Linked DNA regions of Callithrix jacchus. The protein of the gene in region 1 interacts with the protein of each later gene in a pairwise test. Links are inferred from orthologs where the notes say so. Each region holds a gene or a part of one and is shown on either strand. Other genes may lie near its edges.

The links.
Region 2: the proteins of EXOC2 (region 1) and RALB interact in a two-hybrid assay, tested with the Homo sapiens proteins (2 studies listed by BioGRID). The link is inferred for Callithrix jacchus from reciprocal best matches to the Homo sapiens genes EXOC2 and RALB.

What each region holds. Positions count from the first base shown.
Region 1 is NC_133505.1:31,011,100-31,015,691, reverse strand, and holds the start of EXOC2 (exocyst complex component 2), read right to left. Parts: upstream 3,019-4,592; 5' UTR 2,182-3,018; intron 1-2,181. UniProt on the Homo sapiens protein: Component of the exocyst complex involved in the docking of exocytic vesicles with fusion sites on the plasma membrane.
Region 2 is NC_133507.1:104,871,765-104,875,576, reverse strand, and holds part of RALB (ras-related protein Ral-B), read right to left. Parts: intron 553-3,812; coding exon 433-552; 3' UTR 1-432. UniProt on the Homo sapiens protein: Multifunctional GTPase involved in a variety of cellular processes including gene expression, cell migration, cell proliferation, oncogenic transformation and membrane trafficking.

The DNA.
Region 1 (4,592 bases):
AATCCCAGCACATTGGGAGACTGAGGCAGGTGGATCACCTGAGGTCAGAAGTTCAAGACTAGCCTGGCAAACATAATGAAACCCCATTTCTAAAACTACAAAAATTAGCTGAGTGTGGTGGCGTGGGCCTGTAATTCCAGCTACTCAGGAGGCTGACACAGGAGAATCGCTTGAGCCCAGGAGGCAGAGGTTCCAAGTCAGCTGAGACTGAGCCACTGCACTCCAGCCTAGGTGACAGAGCAAGACTCCGTATATATTAAGAAAATAAAGAGTTGCCAGGCACAGTGGGTCACTCCTATAATACCAGCACTCTGGGAGGCAGAGTTCAGAAGTTCAAGACCAGCATGGGCAACATAGTGAGACCTCCTCTCCACAAATAATTTTAAAAATTAGCCAAACAAGGTGGCACGCACCTGAGGTCCCAGCTACTTGGGAGGCTGAGGTGGGAGGCATTTCTGTGGCCCTGACAATCAAGGCTGCAGTGTGTTGTGATTGTGCCACTGCACTCTAGCCTGGGTGACAGAGTGAGACCCCCTTTCAATCAATTAATCAATCAATACACAAACAGATCCAAGGATGCCCATGGATGTGTCACCTACTGCTTTAAGATTCATAATTTCCCCACAATTATTTTAAGTTTGTGTATTCATGTCAATAATAATTTCAAACTAACAGAAACATACTCTAAAGCATTTGATTAGAAGTCAACACTACCACCATGTGATTTCAGTAGGCAGTCCAGAGAATCCATGAACATACTCCCCAGGATCTGAGAACAATCAACATCCTAGTACACTGCTTAGCAGAGTGATGAATGAATATTACTTCCCAGTTTCAAAATCCTCTCAACAACGACCAAAAATTCATCTTTTCAATGAACATTTAAGCACCTACTATGTGGCAGATACTGGAGTAGGAGCCCTGGCTATATTAACATGGGTAAACTAGAGAATGAGTGGAAAAGTAACTGAGAAAATACCCCTGCAACTAGCATTTCCTGTATGGCCTAATCTTACTGCTGCTTGACACCAGAAATTATTAAAAGTCTAGAAGACTATCCATGCAAAACTTTTTGAGTACCAACTTCATTGCCCATAGGATTGTTTCATAATGGGCTCCCAAGAACTTAACTTAGCAAGCTAATAATCATCTTTTAGAAAAGTAATACAGTTGACCCTTCAGCAACAGAGGTTGGAACAAGGCAGGTCCACTTATACACAGACTTATTTCAATACAAGTTGCACTGAGTGTGCCTGCCTCTCCCACTTCCCCTTCCACCTCCTCCATCTCTTCCATCTCAGCCACCCCTGAGACAATCGCTCCTCTTCCTCCTCCTCCACAATCTATTCATGAAGACTATGGGGATGAACACCTTCATGGTGCTCCACTTTCACTCAAGAGCAAATATTTTTTCTCTTCCTTGTGATTTTCTTAACATTTTCCTCTCTCTAGCTTACTTTATTATCATACAGGATATAATACATATAACATACAAAATACATGTTAGTCAACTGTTTATGTATCAGTAAGGCTTCTTTCTGGTCGACAGGAGGCTATTAGGAGTTAAATCCTGGGGGAATAAAATTTACACGGGAATTTCTGACTGCGTGGGCACCCTAACCCCAGCGTTGTTGGAGGGTCAACTGTAGTTCAAAATGGCATTCAGTGCAGGAAATTAAAAACTTGACAAGAAAAAAAGACTAGTTTCTAAAACTTCCAAGAGTTGTTCCAAGTCACACTGGGGGAATCTCTGCTTCTTTCCTTAAATTTATTAACTTTCTACGTAAGCAAACAAGAGGTAAGTACTAAGCAGACATCACTCTTTCTCGTAATACTCTGCGAATCACCAACTTTTAAAAGCACAAAAATCATCCTTGGGAGGATTTTGGCTTTCAGTTGATTTGTCATTAAAGGAGTCAGTTACACAAATCATGGGCCAGTATGTACTAACATTCATAAACAAAACATTATCATGCACTAGGAGACAGATCCATACGTAAGCTCAGAACTAACCTTTCAATACTGCATAGGGCACACAAACGATTTAACTAAAGTGTGGCTAACTTAGAAAAATATTTAAGTGTCCCTTGTAAGTTTACTCACAAATTCACAAAGGCATCAAACTTAAAATTTCCCAGACTTATTAGTATGTTGACCTTTGGCAGATTAAAAATAACTTACTTCCATTCAAAGACGAGTTGTTTCAAGAACTGTTTCTTGGAACTAAGTGTTTATTTAAAAACCTTGGGATACAGCGTTATGCATCAGCAGGCTTCCAGACTGCTGCTGTGCGGATTTGGAGCCGTTGCGCAAGGCCTCAATGGCAGCTACAGCAGGAACTAAGGCTCTTTGCTCAAGCACTCTGAGCCGCCGCTCCTCTATCTGTAAAATGGGGTCACAGGCACCGTCTACCCAAGCGCGAGGATCAAGTCCGTGCACGCAAACGCTGACAACAGTGGCAGGCGCCTTTTAAGCGCTAAGGACAGCCAGAGCGGGATGCATTCCTAGGCAGACAGGTAAAACCTGCCTCCTGTTTGCTTTCCGAGAAATTATCAAATCTCAGAGTGGCAACTACGCACGGCGCGTGAGGGGTACAGTTCCGGCAGACGGGGCGCGGGGTTTGCCCTCTGCAGCCCACACGCTCCGCACCGGCGCAGGTGGGGACGGCAGGGCTGGGAACTGCGGGGATAGGCACAGAGCCCCGCTGGCGCCTGACAGCGGGGGTGGGGGCGGCGGGGCTGGGAACTGCACTGGGTCGCAGGGCCCCGCAGGTGACCGACGGCGCGGGTGGGCGCGGTTGTCCCTTCACAGCTGAGGCCTGGACGGACGCCGCCATCGGCCGCCTCCGCGCGGCTGACGTCCATGCCCCGCTGGCCTTCGGCCAGGCCCTCCATCCTCCCACACATACCTCCTGCCGGCCTGCAGCCCCCCACGGCAGGCAAAGACAGGACCGGGTGGGTCTCGCCGAAGGCTCCGCGACCGCCAGCTGCCGGCACCTCACTTCCGCCCGCCGCGAGCGCCGAGCGCGTAGATCCGCCGGGCAGTCGAGCGCCGAGTCGTCGATGGGAGGAGCCTCCCTGGGAGGGTAGAGGAGGGAGGGGACCCGCGCGGGTACGGGAGGTCAGCAGGGGCCGTGGGCGGTGGATGTAGGACTGCCTTGGATTCCGAGGGACCCAGCCGCCTGAATGGACACGAGTAGGAGGTTTTTGCTGGGAGTCTTTGCAGTGGCGGGAAATGGGGAGCGGCGAGGGAGAAAGAGAAGGATATAAACTCAGGGGGCGGGCCGTGTGCACCATCCATCCCCGAGCCCTCGGTGACCTCAAAGAGGCTGCGAGATGATAGTGCGTTTATGGGGCCACAGTTCACAACGATGGGCCCTGCACTGGGTCAGGGGACCGCTCCGGAACAGGGGGATGCATGGAATCAGAGGGCTGCACCAGGTCAGGAGGCCGTGCCGAGAGCAGAAGAAGCATCGGGTCAGGAGGATGCACTGGAGTGTGCATCCCCAGGGGGCCACACTGGGTAAGGAGGATGCACCAGCTCAAAGGGCTGCACTGGGTCAGAAGGATGCACTGAAGTCAGGGGACTCTACCAGGTCAGGGGCCGCATCAGGTCAAGAGGAGGCACTGGGGTCGGGGCGGGAGCAACATTGAGTCAGGAGCAACCCTGGGTCGGGAGGATGGATGGAGTCAGGAGGCTGCAGGGGTTTAGGGACTGCAGTGGGTCAGGGCGCCGCACCAGGTCAGAGGATGCGCAGAGTCGGAGAGATGCTGGGGATCGGGGATGCATGGAGTCGAGGGGATGCTTGGGTCGGCGGGATGCTCGGGGTCAGGGAGGGGATGCTCCAGGCTGGGGAAATGCACTGGGTCGGCAGGGGGGATACTCGGGGTCTGAGGAATGCACTGGTTAGGGGGGATGCTAAAGGGTCAGGGGGCTATGGCCAAGGAGGAAGGACAATCAGGAAAGTGGGGATCGCAGATTCTGGAAGCTAGATAGTTTCAGGAAGGAGGAATTGATTGACAATGTTCAGAAGTACTGTGAGGCCAAGACTCCAAAGACAACTGAGTTTGGCATATGCCAGTCATTGACATCCTTGACAAAAGCAGTTCAAAGGAGTGTGGGGAACCTACATCTCTCATCAGAGTGGACTGTGAAAAGAATATTAAGTGAAGTGGAAAAACGTGACTTTAGACAACCTGGGTTGGCAGATTTAGCAATAAAAATACAAATACCCAGTAACGTTGAATTTTCAGATAAACAACAAGTAATTTTTAGAGTAGGTATATTGCTAAACTAATGTAGCATGGGATATACATCTACCAAAACATTGTTTTAGTATTAGTGTAAATATGGCCCAAGTATTGCACAGGACATACGTATATTAAATTATTATCAATCTGAAATTCAAATAGATGTTCTGTATTTGTTTTTTTAGACAGAGTCTCACTCTGATGCCAGGCTGGAGTTCAGTGGTGTGATCTCAGTTCACTGCAACCTCTGCCTCCCAGGTTCAGGTGATTCTCCTGCCTCAGCCTCCCAAGTAGCTGGGACTACAGGCACGTGCCACCACACGTGGCTAATTTTTGTATTTT
Region 2 (3,812 bases), on another chromosome or scaffold:
GATGGATTTTTTCATGTCCTTGGGGCTGAATGGATTTTTCTCACTACTGCTACTAAACTGATAAAAGTGGGGGGGCATCTTACTCAACTCCTTCCTCCAAAACCTACTACAACACCTGTAGTTCAAAAGTTCTCTTTGTAATTAACACCTGTTTCCCACCTGTGGCACTTTATACATAGTGAAGCTTTTGGGAAGGAAGAAGGGAGGGAGGAAAAAACTCCACGACCTCCTGACAAAGCAGCAGTTCCACTGCATGGGCTTATTTCTTCTGCCAGCCACTGAGTCACAAATATTTTTCTCCATTTCAAGAAGTCTGAGTGAATGAAGCTGGGGAGAGCGGGAAGCACAGGCAAGAAGTCAACCACAGCCTTCTCTTTACCAACCCAGCCCTGTGTCTTTAGGGGCAACTGGCTTCATCCATCACCTTGACATTCATAGTAAGCAACATCTTTCTTTAAAACTTTTCTTGTTCTTGCTGCTTTTCTTGCCATTCTTGTCTTTGTTTTCTGACATCTTCTTAGCTCTGATTTCTCGCATAAGGTCAAAGAACACCTGGGGAATGGGGAGGAAGGAGTAAAAAGAATAGTGAAGAAAAAGCCATTTAATGATTTTGTTGTTGTTGTTAACCTGACACTGTGAACACAGCATTTAAGGATTCAATGAGATAATCTGACTAAGATGGATATGTATATTTTAAAGCATAAAGTCAAACTTAGTTTTGTAAACCAGATGTCAACAAAAACAAAAGATCTGGGGCAAATAAGCAAAATTAACCTTAAAAACATGCTAATTATAGAAAGTAAACATCTCTCACACAACTGCTCAAGCCAGGGACAGAATCATCATACTGTTATTACTGTGTACCAGCTGCATTTTTTTTTTTTTTTTTTTGAGTCAGACAGGGTCTCTCTATGTTGCCCAAACCAGTCTTTGAACTCCTGAGCTCAAGCAATCCACCCACCTCGGCCTCCTAAAGTGCTGGGATTATAGGCGTGAGCCACTGCACCCAGCCTAATAGCTGCTTTCAAAATGATAAAATCTTTTCTTACAATAAGTATGATGAAGGATAAAATGTGTTTTTGTATAGAACAGATCTATAAATTTACAAAGCTTACAAATATTGAGAGTAACAACAGCAAGCAGACTTTCTAGCACGTCCAACCTCCAGGAAAGGGAAGATGCCACGATGAGTCCCTGCTCCTAGGTACGCTTTACACTTCTGCATCTCATTGAATCTTACACGGACCCCATGGAGGGTGGGTCCTCATTCTGCATGACAGCTTTCCCAGTGAAGTCCACAACAGTAGCCCTGGGGAGGTGGCAGGGTAGGAGGAGGAGGGCATAAAGCATCAACAACTAAAGCTCCTGCCCTAGGGGACTGAGAAGATGGAGGATGAGTGATGTCCTTCTAGCCACCCTATCCCTCCCCACGCACACTCCCCCGCCTCTATTCTCAGGAATAACCACTCCTCCATCCCTTGTGATGTCAGCTGAGAGGAACTTTATCAAGAACTGACGAGACTTGTCCTTTGAAGGTCAGTGTGTTATTTAGATACGGATTATCCTTTTGTCACAGTAGTTTGGGTTTTGCCCTCTGCTACCAGCAATCAGGCCAGAGGACTGATTATACCCAGGCAGACAAAATATGAATCTCATGAAGACACATTTGAGATTTCTCATAGAGAATGACGGAGACTGAAAGTGGGGGACTGAGCACAAGCCTTTATCTTTGGACATTCACACAATACCACAAACTCCTTCATGGCCACACCTTCTTCTTGGTGAAAAGCAAGACCAAGCCTCTGGAGTGTGGGGCTCCCCATGCATTTAACACCAGCTCCAGGCACAAAAAAGCACCCCCAACCTCAGAACCTCAGGCCCCAGCTGGATCAGGCCAACCCAAACACCCCTTCTCGCCAGCCTCTCCACTCTCCAGAAAGAGCGCTGCCGGTGACAGCAACAGTGAACAGCTTCAAATGCTATTGGTTTCCCTTTTTTTTTTCTTTTGTCCTAACAGCACAAGACGAGAGGAGGGGAATGGAGTGCGTCCAACTTAGAACGATGACAAAGTTGTTCACGGGCTGATCTTATCACACCTTTCACGTAAATTCTTTACAAGTGAATACAATGCTGACAGTCCTAAGTTTCTGCTGGTTCCCATTTGGCAGGTCAAGCTGGTCCAGCAGACGAGGGGAAATTACAACACACACCCCCCTACCACAACCCATCCAATTAATACGCATCCGCAGTTCCAATTAAAAATGAGGCATATCTCTGGATTTCCTGTGTGGTTTCCATAGCTGGAAAATAATTTGATAAAAATATTTTAAGTAGCACAAGAACATAAGAGTGTAAGCGTTGAGAGATGACAATCTAAAGAAAAGCTGACAGGAACACACGCCTCACATAGCAGACGAAAACTAAACGGACTTCGGTTGTAGAATATAAATATCCCATATGTATATCTATCCCACATATGTATGTCACCTATGATATATGTTTTTATGTACGATACATACAAATAGATGTATACTGCCAAAGTGCATCTAAAGCAAATTCCTTCTAATACCAACATTCCAAACACCAACGTTCTTCTAGCATCATTTCAAGTGAAAATAAAGCTTGGATAAAAATCTCTCCCTTGTCAGATAATGAAGCACACGGGAATTGTTTCTGCACAAGAAAGAGAAACAGAAGACGGGAGTGGGGGATCCGGATGCTAATGCTGCAGAACTAAAAGCAGACGTGTCCACTGTGCGGCTGCCAAAGGGCTGAGATTCTGCAAGCGCGTGGATGTGCACTGAGAGCTAGTGAACGAGGTCAAGGCAGAAGGGAAGTCTCCTCTTTAAGGTAAAGCTTTAAGATTTTAGCTGTGTGGCAACCACCTTGAACCTTAATTTTAAAAAGACAAAAGGCCTGACAATAGCAAGCCTGGAGAGGTGGATTTTCAAATTGTCAGCATTCATCATTGTCACTCAAAGTCACCCTTTTATTAGTTTCAAAGATTTGAATGAGAAAGTATGCTGGGATGGGATAAGAGAGAGAAAAAAAAAAAGAGAGATCCAGAGAGTTGATTTCTGGGAGCAAATACTATTTAGATACTACACTACAAAGACAGACCACCATGGCTCTGTCAGTGAACAGTAAGGTAAAAAGAACAAATTTAACCAATAACTCAATGAGAGCAAAATCAAGAAGCTCCATGTATCTTTCAAGGGAACCTCCAGGGGAACCTCCTGGAAGCAGCCAGGCCCGCTCATCCTGCTCCTGAAGAGCAAGGCTGTGGAACGTGAGAGCACACACACAGCTAAGGAGGTCCATCCTTCCAGCCCAGCCTTCACAAACCAATGGTCTTGTCCCACCATCCTTCCCAGGACCAAATCAACAGTAAGTATACTCAGCCAGGTGTGGTGGCTCACACCTGTAATCCCGGCACTTTGGGAGGCTGAGGCGGGCAGATCACTTGAGTCCAGGAATTTGAAACCAGTCTGGGCAACATGGTGAAACCCCATCTCCACAAAAAATTACAAAAAATAGCCGGTGCACACCTATAGTCCCAGCTACTCGGGAGGCTGAGGTAGGAAGATTGCTTGAGCCCAAGAAGCAGAGGTTGCAGTGAACTGAGATCACACCACACCAGCCTTGTGTCAGAGTTAAGACTTTGTCTTTAAAAAAAAAACCACACACATTAAGCATACTCTACTCTAATGAAGCCTCATGACAACATGAAACGTTCTGGGGGTGTTTGAAATACAGGGTGATATCCTCTCAATGTTTCTCATTGCAATCATGATCATGGCTTAGACATTCAG